Linked DNA regions of Kluyveromyces lactis. The protein of the gene in region 1 binds, or shares a complex with, the protein of each later gene. Links are inferred from orthologs where the notes say so. Each region holds a gene or a part of one and is shown in the gene's direction. Other genes may lie near its edges.

What was found. Proteins that work in one complex are often made in the same cells at the same time.
Region 2: EMC10 (region 1) and EMC6 share a complex: the UniProt entries of both Saccharomyces cerevisiae proteins name them as parts of the ER membrane protein complex. The link is inferred for Kluyveromyces lactis from reciprocal best matches to the Saccharomyces cerevisiae genes EMC10 and EMC6.

Annotation. Positions count from the first base shown.
Region 1 is NC_006041.1:1,122,992-1,132,498, forward strand, and holds EMC10 (Emc10p), read left to right. Parts: upstream 1-1,401; coding exon 1,402-1,974; downstream 1,975-9,507. Other genes in the region: YOS9 (Yos9p), read right to left, coding at 1-1,129; hydroxyacyl-thioester dehydratase HTD2, read left to right, coding at 2,582-3,397; IPK1 (inositol pentakisphosphate 2-kinase), read right to left, coding at 3,406-4,206; DYS1 (deoxyhypusine synthase), read left to right, coding at 4,506-5,645; OMS1 (putative RNA methyltransferase), read left to right, coding at 5,956-7,296; exosome non-catalytic core subunit RRP4, read right to left, coding at 7,394-8,707; TRM5 (tRNA (guanine) methyltransferase), read left to right, coding at 8,736-9,507. UniProt on the Saccharomyces cerevisiae protein: Part of the endoplasmic reticulum membrane protein complex (EMC) that enables the energy-independent insertion into endoplasmic reticulum membranes of newly synthesized membrane proteins.
Region 2 is NC_006042.1:1,424,804-1,434,205, forward strand, and holds EMC6 (Emc6p), read left to right. Parts: upstream 1-3,604; coding exon 3,605-3,922; downstream 3,923-9,402. Other genes in the region: transcription factor IIF subunit TFG1, read left to right, coding at 1-1,848; HGH1 (Hgh1p), read right to left, coding at 2,034-3,194; mRNA-binding protein PUF3, read right to left, coding at 4,320-7,112; IZH3 (Izh3p), read left to right, coding at 8,691-9,402. UniProt on the Saccharomyces cerevisiae protein: Part of the endoplasmic reticulum membrane protein complex (EMC) that enables the energy-independent insertion into endoplasmic reticulum membranes of newly synthesized membrane proteins.

The DNA of each region.
Region 1 (9,507 bases):
TCGGCAATTCATTTAAAAGGGAGGCATCATTATTCACCTTCCCAATCGCTTCCGAGGCTGAATTCAATTCCAAGTCAATTAAAAATAGCAGATTTCCCGTTTCATCTACTACAGGCGCTCTCCATAGAAATAGATCACCAGGTTTGATCGATTTCCCGGTGGGTGATTGTATAAAGTCCGAACCAATCAATTTCTTAAGACTAGATATGAAGTCTCCAATAAACCTTTCTTCTACTGTGAGCTCAAAGAGGGTAGTTTGAGAATCCAGTGGTTCAGCAGCGTGATACATCAATTGACGCCTATCCTTCGCACTATTTTTAGGTTTTAATAGGTATATGCCATGATCAAGTACAGTAGCCGAATACCTGTTGAATATATCAAGGGCAGGACTCAATTTGCTGCCGCTTCTATGGCATATTATGTTGTGTTCAGATAATTGACCAAGCAACGGATTGAATGAGCTAAGTTCACATAACTGTGGTAGAAACAGTCTCAATTGGTACTTGCAGGATTGTATTTCTCTAACTTCAAGATGGAAAGGCCTCGATAGTGGACGTTTAGGGCAGATGTATTGTATTTCTACCTCTCTTGGTTTATGTGTAAGATCACAAGTGCAACCATCTACCAAAGTTTCGCTAAGATACACTCTACCAGTTTTACTCTTAGCAAAGTGATAATCAATAGTTGAGTTGTAGTTAGATGAGTTCCCTAAAAGGTACGTTTCGCCAAAATAACCTTTTTGCACAACAGTCCTCGTCTCACCAGAGGATATAATATAAGTCCAGTAAGAAATAGGCACTGTATTCATTTCAATAGGGTTTGGAGCCAAGATCGCATTAACCATGTTAACTGCTTCAATGAGAGCTCCTTCAGAATTAAAAGTATCTTCTTCATGATGTTGAATCAACGACGAAGTGTTCCTTTGGTAACACAAAACATCGGACCCTTCGTAGGGGCGGAAAAGCCGTCCTTCTTGGAGCAATGTCTCATTATCTATTACACTTAGGAACTCTTGCTCATCAACGTATTTTAGCGAATAAGGCGTAGAGCTATATGGATTGAATGCTGAGACACCTGAATAAATCCATGAGATAGCAAACACCACCGACGTAACTGGTAAAAATATCATATAAGGCGGCAGATACACTAGCTACAATCAACCTCTGACGAATTGACAACAATGCGCCAACAAATAATAGCTCCGTATATCATTTTTGTACTTTCCACTAAGTAAACTTAAACGTTTGTAATATAAGAATCCAATTAATCGAATTAATCCAATTTTAAACCTTAAACTGAATAAATGTAATAATAAAAAGGATGAATCTCACAGCATAGACTGGTGTTTCCATCATATAACACAGCGGAAAACTGGTTGGATTTATCTTCAAATAATTAGCTATGCTAAAAATGATTCAATTGTTACTAATACTTCTGTTTCACTTGCGTGCGGTAGTGGCATCTCTACAAGGTACTGGTGATCTTTACTTATTGAACAATTTGAATGAAAGGTACAGCCTGGCAACTTTCGAAGCTGGTGATGAGGTAGGTATTAACCTGGCTGTGACAGCCAATCGAATTACAGACGGTGAATATAAAGTTTGTGGGACTTTTCAAGATTATTACGATGAGTGTTTCTCTTTCATCCATATAAAGCAACCATTGTCATACGAACTGGAGCTGGTGGTACTTGATGATAAACTAGTTCGTATGTCGATTCATGCAGATGATAGTATTGATGGCATCGTACCACTGATAAAGGAGGTTGGAAATGGTCCCATACCGGAAAGTATCAAGTTGAAGAAAAGAACTCTGACTTACGAGGCAAAGAAAAAAGCTCAGAGAAAGGATACAGGGACCGCTGCATTTGAAGAAGATGTTGTAGAGAACAAAACGTTTCTTCAGAAAAACTGGAAGTACGTTGTCATAGGGCTACTCGCCTATGTCTTTTTATCCAGTGGATCACAGAAATAATTTCATGTTTTACCATCTTGCTACGTATATATACGTTCAAGAAGACAAAGAAATGACCAGACGACTGACTTTTATTGCTTGGATAGGATAGGAGTGGTTGAAACATTCAATTAACTCTACGAATACGAAATGTATTACAATTAGTGACATGGATTATTTTGATGAGCAATTTGCCTTGAGTTTATTAATTGAGTGCTCGATGGAAAGACTGAAGTGAAAGATTTACCAATGTTGGCTTTTTAAAAGGATCGAAACTAAGCAACTCCATTACTCACTTCTTATCAACAATCGATCATGCTTTTCTCATTTGCACTGTAACACTGTAGTTGCTGTTACGATAATTCACTTTGCACTTGACTTTCCAGTCAATTAGACTGCCAATCAGCTTCACGATATCATGCACAGTAGTGTTTACTACCAACTCGATAGAACTGTATCCCACTTCACATCTTATTTAATTTATTTACCTGTATATCGTCATAAACAAGTAATGAATGAATTTAAAACTGTTGGGCATTCAATCGTAAACCTCACATCAAACAGTATAGAAAAAAAAGGGAATCCTTAAAAGCCAACCATATCCACATAGCTGTTAGTTTTCGCGGCAATGCAGTGGCATATCAGTGATTACATCAATCCGGTGACGGTACAGAGGTATCAGACTTTGGTTACATCTATCTTGCCAAAAGCAAAAGTATCAAACGATATATCGCTTTCAGGTTCACATTTATTGTTCTTCCATCCAGTAACAGCTGCCCTCAGCGAAGACGGATACTACTCGTACCAGACTCCTGGTGCTATATTGAAACGTGAAGTGCCCTTTCGGCGTCGCATGTGGGTTCAGGGATCAATTGAGTTCAAGAAATCACTGACAGATGGCTGGTACAATTGTCAAGAAGAACTTAAATTCATCAAAGAACTGAACAAAGACCATTTCGTAGGGTTGAAGAGAACTATACGAGACGAAAAGGGGTACCTATATGTTAAAGAGTTAAGAACGTTGATATATACTAATCAAAAAGTCTCAGATAAAGTAATAACCAAGTCCGAAGATTACAGTACCCGAGAAATCATCAATTTGGAAGATATCGATGTCATGGTTTACAGTTCGATCAGTTCGAATCCTCATAGAATACATTGGGATAGGGACTATTCGCGCAACGTAGAGGGATACCGTGATGTTATAGTACAGGGCCCGTTTTTGGTTCAATTGGTGATCAACTATTTCGAACAATGTTTTGGAAGACAAGTCTCCAGCATAAAATACAAGAATACGTCTCATGTGTATGCTGGCACAGATCTTGAAATCTGTCACAATGGACTCGGGAAGGATGGTCAAATCAGTATAATATTGAGAGATCCTAAGGATTCACATAAGGTTTACTTTGAGTGTAAGATAGCTTCATGTATACATATAGAGTAAAAGTACAATCATTGGTGGTTGAAATGAGCCTTCTTCTTTCCTGGGAAAGATGCAAGAGCGGATTCAGTACTCTGCCAATGCCGCAGTTTGTTTGCTGGTTTTTGATCAACATCTATTATCGTAGCCTTGACGCTCCTTGTATTGCGGGACCAGGTCAAGAAACAGGTCACATCTCTTAGCGTCATTAGCGTTGACAAATCATCTTTCACAAAACGCTGAGCAGCATAGAGCCTCTGTGTAATACTGTCACTTGATTGGAGATACTGCAGAATGTCATCAAGAAATTCTTCTGGCACTTGGCGTCCTGCAAACAGCGTTTCGATAATCAGCTCCGGATCATGTAAAAAACAGTACTCAATATCTCTTCCCTTCAGCGAGTTATGTGTACAATTCCTACAATAATCACTAGATTGATACAACCACTTTGGCTTGAATTCCCAAGTAATAGCATCATTCAATGAGCATCGATAGATTTGATTGAAATGGTCCAACTGTTCACATGTACTATCCTTGGCATGCAATAAAGGCATGACTATGCATTGCATATGACTATCATCGATTAAGATATTCTCATCTTTCAACACATTAATCCATTTTGTATCGACAAACACCTCTTCTAACCTCATGGAAACAACCACATCGGCCAACATAGGAAGTGACCTGATCTTGGAATCGATAAACTGGAAGTTGTCCTGCACATATGCATTGTTCCTGGAAAGTTTCTGGTGCCTTAAGCTGATACGGTACACTTCACCAGAAAGGAGATAGCAAACATTAGCATTGCCTCTACCAACGAACAATAGAGTCATACCATAGTTTCACACAAAGAACCAAGGCAAACCCAAAAAGTAGGTCATGTGTTTAATCGTGGTGCAGCATCGTTTCTTTGACTTGTCATCTCGTCACCAGATTAGAGATTTATAAAACTAAAAGGCTTTACCTTTTAGGAATTTTTCACTTCTCACCGCATGAACTTTACAACTGTAAGAACAAGACGGTATTAACTCTGATCTATAACCTGATTCACCACATTATACTTAGGCGATTGGAGCTTCATTGTTCAGAAAGAAGTGCTCTACCAACTTACCTACTAACTTACAACGAAAAGATGTCCAACATTGACGGTAAATTACCTGACATCTTAAGCGATGCTGTGTTGAAGCAATCTGTTCCAGTGCCTGATAATTTTGTTAAGGTCGAAGGTATTGATTACAGCAAACCAGAATCACGCAACATGCGTTCTAAGGATTTAATTAAATCGATGGCTACTATGGGCTTCCAGGCGTCTTCTTTGGGAAAAGCCTGCGATATTATCGATGAGATGAGATCCTGGAGAGGTGAACATCGTGACAAGTTGGAAGAACATGACCGCAAGGGTTCTTTTGACAATGATGGGTACCAAAAGACTACTATCTTTATGGGTTACACTTCGAATTTGATTTCTTCTGGCTTGCGTGAGACTTTACGTTTCTTGGTTCAGAATAAGATGGTCGATGCCATTGTTGCAACTGCAGGCGGTGTTGAAGAAGATATCATCAAGTGTTTGGCTGACACTTACCTTGGTGAGTTTTCTTTACCTGGTAAAGGGTTACGTGACCAAGGTATGAACCGTATTGGTAATTTGCTGGTTCCTAACGACAACTATTGTAAGTTTGAAGAATGGATCGTTCCAATCTTGGACAAGATGCTTGAAGAACAAGAAAACTACGTCGAATCTCAGGGTAAAGACTGTTTGGATAGCAACTTCGATCAAGACTCTCCGGTATGGACTCCTTCCAAGTTGATCCGTAGGTTAGGTAAAGAGATCAACGATGAATCCAGTGTTCTATACTGGGCTTATAAGAACGATATCCCAATCTTTTGTCCTGCTGTCACCGATGGTTCCATTGGTGATATGTTGTTTTTCCATACCTTCAAGGCATCTCCTAAACAGTTGAGACTAGATATTGTTTCTGATATTCGTAAGATTAACTCTATGTCTATGGAAGCATCACGGGCAGGTATGATTATCCTTGGTGGTGGGTTAATCAAACATCACATCGCAAACGCATGTTTGATGAGAAACGGTGCAGATTACGCTGTTTATATCAACACGGGTCAAGAATTTGACGGTTCTGATGCTGGTGCAAGACCAGATGAGGCTGTTTCCTGGGGTAAGATTAAAGCAGACGCTAAGTCCGTTAAGGTCTATGCAGATGCCACTGTCGTTTTCCCATTAGTCGTCGCTGCCACTTTTGCTAGCGAATAGAACACTTTATAAAAACAATAGATATCTGTATATATTCATAACCTCGAGTCTGAGCCAACTGCATGAGAATTCATTGTTGTCAGTGGTGTTGGATTGGGTCAACACCACTTGGTTATTAAGACATTCACTCAACCCAATTGTACCACGTGATATTCTAAATTTTTCAAGATCGATTCAACCTCGAAACCGTCTCATCTCGCTCTCTCTTTATCTTGAGTTAACGCAAAAGAACCGACAAAACAGCCTTCCGATATGGTCTTCTGGTCTGTTTTAACAGGGTCTCAAGAATCACCTGTGATCTGTTTCACTAATGTTTGCTGTCAGACGCAATTTCTTGCGGGGGCCATTGAGAGTAACGCAATGTGGGCCAAGCTTAGGTTCGGGATATAAGGTTCTTGATCTTGTACGCTGCAAAAGTACATACATACCTTCTCCAGATTCCGTTTACAAGAAGCCTAAATCAAAGGAGCAGATTGCTAGGGAGAAGCATGAAGCGGATTTGAAATCTGACAACTGGATTATTAGGTACGGGGCCATTGCAAGGTCCGAGAAGTTTTCGAAAGCTTTAACGAAATACATTCTTGCCGCATATGTGGTGTTCATTCTATATGGGTTAAACTATACCAAGAAGCTTTATAAGAAGGACAAGGAGTTAGAAGATATTAGTGCAAAGATTGATATGGGAGTAGCAAATGAATATGAGTTGTTGCGCTATAAGGAACTAAAAAATACGTTAAGAACAAGAGATGTGGAGAAATTGAAACAATACCAAAAGATTATAGAGAAAGATGGGACTGAGAATTTGGATAAGATTACCTTGGAAAACAACGATCAAAACAAGATTAACGAGAAAATTCTACCTGCTAGGGATACCACTGATTTCTATGAAATGAAGGCAGAAGAGTACGATGAGGGTGTGAGTTTTGAAGAAATGATGATCAGAATGGGTAAAAGACGTAAGTGGCTCATGAAACATTGTAAAGGAGATGTTCTCGAAGTCGCTTGTGGTACTGGTAGGAATATCAAATATTTAGACCCAACGAAGATCAACTCAATCACATTCTTGGATGCATCGGAAAAGATGATGGAAATCACAAATAAAAAATTCAGAGAAGCACTACCCAATTTCAAGAAATGTGCATTTGTTGTAGGGAAAGCGGAAGATTTGATCGACTTGAACTCGAAGGAGACACCTGTTAAGTATGATACTATTGTTGAAGCGTTTGGTCTTTGTTCACATCACGATCCTGTAAAATCTTTGAAGAATTTTGCTGAATTGTTGAAACCTGGCGGTAGAATCATTCTCTTGGAACACGGAAGAGGTTCATACGATACAATCAACAAAATTCTTGACGATAGAGCTGAGAAACGTTTAAAGACATGGGGTTGTAGATGGAACTTGGATATCGGAGAAATCCTTGACGATTCTGGATTGGATGTCGTCGAAGAAAGAAGAACACATTTCGGTACGACATGGTGTATTGTTGCCAAGCGTAAAGGTGACGGTAAGAAGAAAGAAGAAATTGGCTTCTTTGAAAAGTATCTTGGTGCTAGTGTTAAGAGCAGAATTGAATCTTTCACAAACGATGGAAAGAAGCAAGACTCGCTACAAGCTACCCATAATAAACCAACATCTGAGACATCCAAATGATGGTACTCTTATCGAAAAGATTTTATTATTTGTAAATATTATGCACTTTATTTATAAAATACTACTTCATGTAAATATTAATATTACCGATTACAACCTATGCTGCTCCCCTCATCTTCTCTGAGTTGATGACGTCTTGACCTAAGGACTCCATCGTCTCCGATTCAATTAACTGTCCCAAGTTACCATAAGCCATTGAAGCCTCATATGCGGATATTATTCTTGGCTCAGTGATACCGAGTTCGCAATGTGCTAACGCCTTAATTACGTTTGCATATCTTGTGATTGTTTGCCTAACGCTTACAGTAACAGTATCATTTTTATCCGAATATATTTCCCAAGAACTCTCTTCTTCCAATCTTGTAATGGAAACCGACATTGCATTGTTGGATCCTGGTAAATGGTCAGATTGTCCTGAACCTGTAGTAGTGGTCTTACCGGAAAGATCCATCTTGGAGGATTTCCTTATCCATACGAACCCATTTACACCCAAGATAATGGTGACATTCCCTGGAAGATTATGTGTATGATTTTTAGATCTCACTATTAGGGAACTTGGGACTTGAACAAACGTACCATTCCTTAGTTTCCCATATTTCAACGATCTGGTATGTAATGAAGCTGAACCGTCTTGGAACAACGATTGGACTTCAGCGTTTAGTAGATCACCTTCTTTCAAGAAGTTTCTCATTTGCAACTCATCTGTCTCTGACTTACGTCTCAATACACCACCTGGTAAATTAACAGAACCCAACATCAAAACCGCATACTGTTTGGCTCCAATATCCACTTTCCACCTTCTATTACCAACATCAGTGATTCTACCCACGATGTGGTCACCTGTTTCGGGAATATAACGAGATTTTAATGGTAAAACGGATAGCAATCTATTCACTCTCGATACTGTGCCAACCACAGAACTGTATGTCTTGTTTTCCAAGAAATAAGTACCATGACCCTTCATCCATATAGGATCATCGGTTATTAATTCACCAGGTGTGACAATAGACCCATCCTGATGGTCTATTCCACCATTGGAATCGTGAGCACCGCTCATCTCAATGTCATGTTCTTGCTCTGAACCTGAGCTGGAATCTGATTCATATTCATCCTGTTCTAAACGGCCATTAGACCAAAATTCGTTCCTATTGATAACACTAATAACATCACTCATTGTTCCAAGTAATGATATAACGATGTCAGGGACTGCAGAAGGCGTTCGATGTGCTGACTTCCTCGCTGTACCTTTGTTACTTTTGGTGTTAGTTAACTGAAAATTTTCCAAATTAAATAAGAGAGCGATGAGATGAGATGAGATGAGCGTTGTAAAAGATGTAAAAATGTTGCAGCAAAGATCGACCGTCAGGCAGCGTTTTATTTGGTGAAGTGATAGCACACTATTTTGCTCCATTTTTCAAGGATAGAGGAGGACTAGTTTTATGAGGTTTGGCCTAGTGCTTCGAAGAACAATGAGTAGAGCTATTGAAACTACGTTCAAATATGAACCACCAGTGCATCGTGGCATGAAACAATTAGATAAATCATTATTCGTAAAGAAGCTTCCTGTTGTTGTATTGCTATTGAAGAATCCAAAGAATATTTCTGTCTTCACCAAGAAGTTCAAGGACGATATATTAAGGACACCAAGAATTCCATTCGTTATAAGACTTGGCGAAACACCAAAAGAAGATACTGATAAGAACGATGTCGAGCCAGTACAGAAGAAAAGCAAATCCCTGGCCAATGACAACCATATAACCAAAGGTATCATACTAAAAGACAGTATACAAGATGTTTCGCAGGCGAGAGGGAAGTTGACCTCCAATGCACTAGAATTTCTTGATGAGCAAGAGTATGAGTTGAGAAACCATGAGTATGTGCTAGATTATGACTTCTGGAAAGTGGAAGAGATTCTAAATGCAATTTTACCAGAGGAGTACCTTGCTGAGATTCCTACTGGGTTCACTATTGTGGGACACGTAGCTCATTTGAATTTAAGGAAAGAGTTCAAACCGTTTGGTGAAATAATTGGACAAGTCATCTTGGACAAGAATTCGACGATCAAGACCGTGGTCGATAAAGTGGATTCCATTGCTACCAAATTCAGAACTTTCGAAATGAACGTCCTAGCGGGTGAACCGAACCTGCTAGTGACTCAAAGGGAATCTGATTGTTCATTCACTTTCGATTTCAGTAAAGTGTACTGGAACT
Region 2 (9,402 bases), on another chromosome or scaffold:
AGTGAGTTTCCATTGCGAGCAATTGACATGAGAGATAAAGAAAACGTTAAGACGAATTTGGTCAAATTTCAGTCTAAGAAACCAATAGACCCTGAGGATTTCCATTTACCCATCAGATTACATCGTAAGGATACTAGAAACTTGCAATTCCAGTTGACCAGAGCGGAAATTGTGCAAAGACAGAAGGAAATTGCGGAATTCAAGCAGAGACAACTCGAAGAAGCAGGAGGTGCAGGACCGGGTACTGGCGGTAGCAACTCAACGCCGACAGCATCTAAAGGTAACAGTACTGGTGGAAGTTTCTCTCAATCTAACGGGAAACCATATAATAGCAAACAAGGAACGCCAGTTCCAGGTACGTTGAATGGTCCAAAAGTGGGAGTAACTAATTATAATAATACAGATGGTCCTAACGTGAATAATAACGGTTCATCAAGTTCAGAGCTGAAAACTGGCACAGATTCCGGCTCTCCTCCAAATGGGAAAGAAGGAACTCCCAGCAATACCGTCACTATCCTTGAAGAGGCTGGAGTGGCAGAAGACCCAACTAAGGTCGGTATGGTTAAATATGATGGTAAGGCTGAACCTGAGATACACGAAGAAGGTACTATAGACCCTATGGCTGATGTTGCACCACATGGAGGTGGTCGTTTTAGAAGGGGTAATTCTAAAAGAAAGACAAGACAGTTGAAGAGATTAGATGAAGAAGCGAAAAGGTTAAGATTCGAAGAATTTTATCCATGGGTCATGGAAGATTTTGATGGTTTTAACACCTGGGTAGGTTCATACGAAGCAGGTAACTCAGACTCATATGTCCTTTTAAGTGTTGAAGACGACGGGAGCTTTACTATGATTCCTGCGGATAAAGTCTACCGTTTCACTGCAAGAAATAAATATAACACATTGACCATTGAAGAAGCCGAGAAAAGGATGGAGAAGAACAAAGAAGGTGCTCCTCGTTGGTTTATGAAGCATTTGGACGAGTCCAGTAAAACAACCACAAGATATGATAGAACCTTAAGAAGACTTAGAGCTGTCGATGGGAACACAAGACAGGCCGAAGATGATGAGGACCGTGGAGATAACTCAGAGGTCGAATTGGATTACGATGAAGAATTTGCGGATGATGAAGAAGCACCAATCATAGACGGTAATGAAGAAGAGAATAAGGAATCGGAACAAAGGATCAAGAAAGAAATGTTACAAGCTAATGCTTTGGGATTACGTGACGATGATGGGGAAGAGTCAGATGACGAACTATTTGGAGAGAAAAAAATTGACGAAGAAGGTGAAAAAGTCAAGAAAGCCCTCCTTAAAACAGATCTGGGTGCTTTATATGAATCTGATGCAGAAGAGAACCCATATCTATCACACTCTGAGGAAGATGAAGAGCAAGCTGATTCGGATAAGAAAGATTCCGAGAAGGATAATGAAAAGCAAAGTCGGAGATCCTCACCAAAGAAGAAAGCTTCTGACACACCATCAGGTCCACCAAAATTAGTAGTAAAAAGCATTAATCAAAATATCGTTGTACTAACTGGTGAGAAATCAGTATTATCGAACTTCCCTGCAGGAGCCTGGAATCCAAACTTGAAGAAACGTCCAGCAGAGTCTCAGCCACAAGAATCTATGGACAATAAGAGGGCAAAGTCTGATCACTCGGCAGATGATTTGTTAACGGAAGACGATATAATCAATGCAATTGAGGGCAAGCAGTTGACTTTGAAACAATTAATCAGACAATTGAAAGAAAAGGTCGGTAGACATCCTGACAATAAAGAAAGAATGAAGGTTTTTGTCAAGAAACTTGTTAAACTGAACGGTAAATTCCTCGAATTGAGTAAGTAGTTAACATAATTTCCTCGTTTTCAAACCTCTGGAGATATACATGTAGTGATAATTGATATATATCACCTGGGTCCAATTGGAAGGGGCAGGAAATAGCATATTGATATAGTCAGTTTATTAACAATAAGTACGCTTAAAATAAATATATGTTATTTGAAAACAAGATATCTATAGGAAGTTATCATTTATAAAACTTCGACGATAGCATCGTCATCATCGTCGGACTCTTCTTCTTCTTCTTCTTCTTCTATCTCGGCTATTTCGCCATCTTCCGCAGATTTGGCCACGATTTCTTCTATCACTTGATTCTCCGGCTCACCTCTCATCAACATGTTAACAATTCTATGAGATAATTCACCGATATCGTCATTTCCAATATTTTTATGTAACTCTCTGACCAATGGGTATACTGATTTCGATCTTAAGTATTCTCTGCCGGCTTTAGTGGTACAAAGCAATAAAATACTTTCTAAATGCACACATATGATTTCAGGAATAGGATCTCTCTCTTTGTCGGCAGGTAAGAGTTGCAATTCATCCGGTAGATTGAACATATCTTCTTCATCAATTTCGGAGTCTTTAGCTGATGCAATCGGTAGAAGAATATAAGGTAAAAGATTGATTTCCTCATTAGTCAAAAGGTTTTCATGCTTTTCGGAATCAAATAACGAATTCTTGATGGTATAAGCCACACCTTCTCTTCTGGTTTTAGCATCATACTTTTCAGTGAATACCAATAGTTTAGAAATTGGGATGACGCCGTCATACTCCTGCTGTTCAATGAAATACTCTCTACCAATCTTAAATCTCGAAATGTCGGCAAAGAAATAAGCTAAGTAGTCATAAGTGGCATATCTGTTCAACTTTCTATCGTAACCCTTCACAAAACAATCCATTAAGCAATCCATTACTTTGTTGCTTTTAAAGACTTCTATGTTTAATGGAATACCATCGTCTTCCTTCTTAACAAACGAAAACAATTCGGTAATATTGTCTTCCTTGGCGAGATTAGACAATAAAATACACATGATATCCGCACTTGCGTTAGCTAAATCACAGATTTTCCACGATAAGTACTGTAGGAATTCAGTATCCTTGACGATCAACTTTCTCATAGTAACATCATCACATAAATTCGCTAAAATCGTAGTGGATTGTTGAACGATAACTTTTGACTTATCTTTAGCTAGAACTTTTAGATCCTCTATAGCTTTGTAATTATTACATTTGAAAATGACAGCACTTGCTCCAGTTGAGAAGCCAACCAGATTATCAAGAGCAATCTGTCTGACGGCAGGCTGGTCTGAATGCAAAAATGACACTAATTCTTCTAATTCCGTGGACATCTTCCCTCTTTATCGTATCAAGTAAACGCAGATATTTCGAACAAAGATGTTTTATTGAACAATGAAAGTTATAGTTGATTAGCTGGTGAACAATACCTAGTTACACCAACTGCCAACGTAGATATGGTTGATGCGATGAGCTGCGATGAGTTTGTCAAACGTTTCTCAAGTTTCGTGAAAGAAAAGGTTCGACTCTTTAAGGCGGGTAACAATTACATCAGCATCAAACCGACAATAACAGATCTCCATCTTCAATTAAATGAATAGAACCACCGTTAGAAACAGAGCTTTTCAATCTGCGATTCGATTGATCCTTAAGTGCTGCATTTATCATAATAAATCACTTTTATTCTAGTCTTGGCTTATTGCAACCAATTGCAATCATAACTACGAGATAACAGCATTGGAAAATGAGTTATCGCTTCACCGACCTAAAGTCTTCCAAAAGTGGAAGTTTCAACAACAACAAACTACTACGGATACAGGATTCTACAATGCTGACAGCAGGACTTAGTGCTGGGATATTGCAACTTCAATCTTTTGCAGGTTTTGGAATGTTTTTTGCTGTTTATATCCTGGTGAACCTCATATTTATAGCGTGGTTTTGCAAATTCAAGCCTAGTCTATATTTTACTAATCCAGTGCATAAAATATGGGTTAAAAATCTATTCCGCGAGCTAGCTGGGTTTGTCATGACTTGGACGTTAGCGTTCACTTTGGTCAGGTAACGCATATGACACATTTTGCATTAACGGGTTGATTTCATCTGAACGATATCACCATTAGGATTCTAGAAGTACTATAATATTATGGTCATTAAAACTTATAGCAGAGATAAATATTTGCATGTATTATAAACAGGATGATGATAAACAATATGTACATTTAAAGGATATTAATTTATTAGGTAGTAATCTGTTCTCAACAACAGATTTTAGAAGATATTAAGATCTTCGTGAGAGATATCACGGGGATACAAAACGTAAGAAATGGCAATCTTCATCAATAGAATGATTTAGAAAGTGAACCAGTTATTAGGGAAAGAAAGCGTGGTTATCAAATGCAAATATTCGAGGCAGAACAATTTTTTTTGTCTTGCTTTCCCAAGTTGAGGCTGACATACATCTATATCTGAATTTTTTCCACCAAAGTTGCTAACTTTTCAACACTAGCCAAATGCCTGTTACCCAAAGTGTTATTTTTATTGGATTTATCCAAATAGGATCTGATGGAAATAACAATCAACCTCTCATCTTCACCAGTTGCGACACCCACGAGCTTTTGAACAACGTAGTTCGCGTATTGATCCCGCATCATTAGAATCAATGGTGCATTATCTTCCAAATCAGCGGCGTGCTCTTCGTCTCTTGGTAGAATTTGATCCAAAATCTGTCTTATCTGGTTTTTGGATCCGTAAACTACTGACTTTTCAACAACATTGGAGGCAAATTTGTGTTTTGAATATTCAACAACATTCTTACGAATGATATCGATGATATTTTGTTTACTCATTCCTATGTGACTGCTCGTATCTTCAGTTCCATGCTGTAAAATATGCTGAATTACGTAGTTACCGTATTGATCCTGGATCAAGAATGGGATGAATTCATCCAAGTCATTCAAAATATCATCTTGGTCCTTTAGAGTTCCAAATTCCAATAGTCTTTGAACTACACGGCAACCGTAAGAATGCGTTGATAAATGATAGATTTGTCCTCTTAAACTTTGGAGAATAAATGGTAATTTTTCAATCGGAATACACTCGATGGCTTTTTGTATAACATGGTTACCATTCTGGTCTTTGATCATAGCTAAAACACAATGGGAAAGTTCAGATACGAGATCAACCTTTTGATCTTCATTTAGGAATTCAAATGCCTTTTGTATAACACGGCAAGCATACATTTCTAACGACAAGTTCTCCATTTTGCCTCTGAATTGATCCACTAATACCTCCCTTTGTGTTTTTGTACCATGTTCAAAGAATTTTTGAATGACATAGTTACCGAACACGTCATGAGATAATGGTATACATTGGTCTCTAATCTCATTGAAGATTACTTCCTTATCAGCATCAGAAGCTGTTGCCAATTCCTGTTGGATAAATCTGGAACCATGTTGATCTTTACAGAACTCTAAAGCGGAGCCGTAAATATCGCTAAGTTTGTAAACTTTATTGGAAGAATTGTTCCTGAATTCCTCCAATAATGGGGATCTAACGATAGGCTGTTTGTTATTCTGGCGAGCATTTTTACCTTGGCGACCCTGTTTGTTTGCACCTGAACCTGAAGAACTTTGCAAAGTGTTTGGGGGCACTGCCATACCTGCCCTACTTGGTGGCGGAGAGAATTGTGAATATTGAGCCTTACCTGCGTGCAGGTATGGATTTGATTTATTTTTGCCAGAGTATTTAGAATCGTTATTTCTCTTGTTAGAACCGGAACCATTGTCTGCGGATGGAGGGGAGCTTGGAGCGTCTTGTAAGTTACCTGGACGTGGTTGCATAGATGGAGGCATGAACATGTAAGGATTTGGTGGCAAGAAAGTAGGGCTCAAAGGAGGTTTAACAGTTTCACTATCCTTATTATTTTCTGTGTCATCTTCTTTGATTGGAGCATACATGAAAGGATATGGACTGGGGAATGGATAAGGAGCCATTGGATGTGGCATCATCGTTGGATGATTACCTGTTTCACCTGATGTCTCTGATAATTCGGACTCGTGTTGGTTCTTTCTAGAAGCGGAAGCCTCTTTGGTAACACCATCAGTAGTCTCGACATCTTGACTGTTATCGTTGGATCCATTCATACCTGGGAATGGTTGTGGTGGTGGAGACAGCACAGGAGGTAAAAACATGGGCATTCCAAATTGATTAAACCCAGGATAACCATAGTTGAAAGGAGCTGCCTGCTGATTAGCAAACGAGGCAGGGTCATTTGGATCAATGTCCTGGTCACTTGGAAAAGGAGCAGTTTTGCCGTCCTTAGAACGACGGTAAGAGAATTGAGGCTGGAATTGAGGCTGACGTTGATGCAGTGGAGATTGCTGCTGCTGCTGTTGTTGTTGGTAGTGGTATTGTTGTTGCATGTGTTCGGCATTCTGAGGTCTGAATACGGGTGCAGCAGCCACGTTCCAAATGGTAGTAGAATTAGGCTCATTATTTTGCATCGATAAACTTTCACTAACGGAGTCCAACACTTCAGAGGTATCCGACATTCTTCTTGCACCATGCAGCGTCGTATTAGATCCGACTCTCGATAAATGCTCCAAGCCTGTGGTTGCAGATGCTCTTCTCGAGCCAGTACCAGCGTGATTCGAACTCGAAGGAGGCCCACCAACGTTAACACTACCCACACCCACATTCAATTCCACTTCACGAGTACCCTCAGCTAAGGCACGACCAAACCTTTCGAAAAATCCAGATGTAACTGAACTATTATTGACACCGATCGAATTAGAATTAGTCACGCTTCCGTTGTAACTGTTCAAGTTCGGATTATTATTATTTTGGAATTGAGCTGTCAGACCACCAGCGATACTGGCAGAGTAATGGTTCATGGCATTCAATCTATTCTGAGCGTGGGACGAAGAGTTCTCAGGCAGAGACATCCCGCCTACAGACAGAGTAGTTCTCCTCAACATGGGAGAATTCTGTGTATTGAAAAAGATCTCTGAGTCCACATCGCTTCCCGTATTACTATTGAAAGAGGCCCTTCTGAACCCACCAATCTGTTGCTGCTGCTGCGCCTGTACTTGCTGCTGTTGAACCTGCTGCTGTGCTTGTTGCTGTACATTCGGATTTGACAGTGCCGAAAGCGACGAGACTATTGATGCTAATTCAGAATCAATCTGGGTATTATTATCCTTATCGTCAGAAACAGCGGTATTCCAGCCGTTCAGTTGCTCTGAAAGTGACATCTTAACAAGATTTGAGTACTCTAAACCACTGACAACTAACTTGGGAACCGCAAATACCAATATAAAGTAAAAATGCGAAGATCAACGACAATGTAGTATTAACAAAAATTGAGGAACGACAAAGGGAACTCTGGTCCCAAGAAACAAAACAAAGAAAAATGGGGGAAAAAAAAAGTGATACACTAAATGCAGTTCACCCAAGCCTAAGGTACCTGGAGAGTAAAGCTGTAACAAAGGACAAACTCAGAAAAGACTATATATGCCGCGAACTGGAGTGTCCTTTACTCCAGAGTACTTTAATATCCAATGGATAGTTTCAATATCCATAAAAACGTAAATTAAACAAAATATGAAAAGTTCAAAATGTTGATAATCGATAATTCCAGGTTTTCTCATGAAAAGACAATGAAAGCCAGAAGACGAATCCCTCGACGGTTATGTTCCGTTCTTGCAGGGCATAGTTCGACAGGGGAACCAGTTCGGAAAAACCAGAAAAATTAAATCATGTCCGGGTAGTAGTTTTTAAAAGGTCGCCCGTTCGAGTCCCCTATGTTCTCGAATTTTAGTAAAAAAAAAGTATAAATTTATAGGAGTTTCATGATAGGCATTATTTCGAGAACCCGGTCTAGATTGAGACCAAAAGAAATGAAACTAAAAGGAAGGTAAAGGGAAACGAAAAGAAAGAGGAATAACATGTCAGTTCTTCTCCATGTATTCTAGGTCATTAGTTAAGCCTTTTTTTATTTCCTTTTTATGGCTGAGTAGACTGAACTGGACTGGACCGGCTACAAAATGGGAACGCGGAGGAGGGTAACATGGCAGTGCGTGTCCCACGCACTTGCAAACTCACCCAAACTGATCCCTGAGTCCATCCATACTATCTGTCCCTCCACATTTTTGTTTCGGAAAAGATCGGCCAGAGATCTTGTTTCTTGTCCTAGGAGAATAAGAAGAAAAAAGACCAATATTCTGGCCTGGCTAGAATATGATGGGTGTACGACACGTTCTTATTGTTACGAGTAGCGTATTATGAATTAAGTAATAAGAGAAGACGGTGAATGGAACAAACTGAATACATGCCGTGTTCTTGTTCGAAGAATATCCGAGTGAACCGTGATTGTATAATAGAGACGGCCGGAAACATGTGTAGTATCTGTGAATGAGATTTTTGAAATTTTCGGTTAATTCGAAATTTGAAATTTGATGTGATATCAATTCCATATGCTTTATATAACAAGATGAATTTATATATTCCGCAGTATGAGCTGGTTTGAAAGGGAAACTACTACTGCAAGACATATCACAAGTTTCAATACTATTCCATACCATACCAAACGTCCTTTTTCAAGACTAGGATATTCACCGTTAAACTATACACATTTCCGTCTACTGAATCCAGATCCTTTTTCTTTTTTTTCCATTTTAGTTTGAGCTAAATTATACTTCGTCTTTGGGTATATATTACAAGAGACAAGAACACCATCACATTCCTTTCTATTTGTATTAGTTAACTCCTTCACCCTGTTATTGCCAGGCTCAGTTTCGCTCTTTTTTTCATTCAGGTAGCTCCGATACATCATGTCAAAGTCTGAAGATTTTATTATGGAATATACCTCGGAAAATGTCACTGGAGTTGACAACGAGTTCAGTCTCAGTTCCGAAGATGAATACGTCGCGCTAACAAGACTTGCACGGTTCATCAAATCAGCAAATCAGAAACTAGAGAAATTGGAGTCCGTGCTTCCTTCAACTTCTGTCGCTACGACGACAAGTTTGCCCAGACAAGGGTTTAACAAGTTAAGACAAAGAGGCCGTAAATTTTTGAGATGGAACAACAAGCCTGTCGAGGCTGAGAAAGAGGTTTCATATCAAGATTTCATCAACAATCCAGACGCACCAGCGTTTTATAGGTTTTTGAAACGTACCACGGAAGAGTTAACAGCTGTTTTGCCTGAGAATGACACTGAAACTATGATTGCTGAAGAGTTCGAAAGAAGTTTGAACAGGTCTTCAATCACTTCTCCGTTGTTAAAATTCTCACAGATTTACGATGATCATTTCACTTCGTTTGCTTCTAGCTCTACGACTCTTCACTCCTCGACAAAGGATTCTACCAGATCATCATCACAAACTTCATCGAAAATGCCTCGGTTTGACGATAGCATAAGTCATAGTGCTCTTTCGTCTTCACACTCTAACAGTTCAGATGATAACTGTCAAGACAACTCTCGCTACGATTCACATAACGTCTCCTCGTTCTCAATCAACAAATTAAAGCTGGACCGTAGTG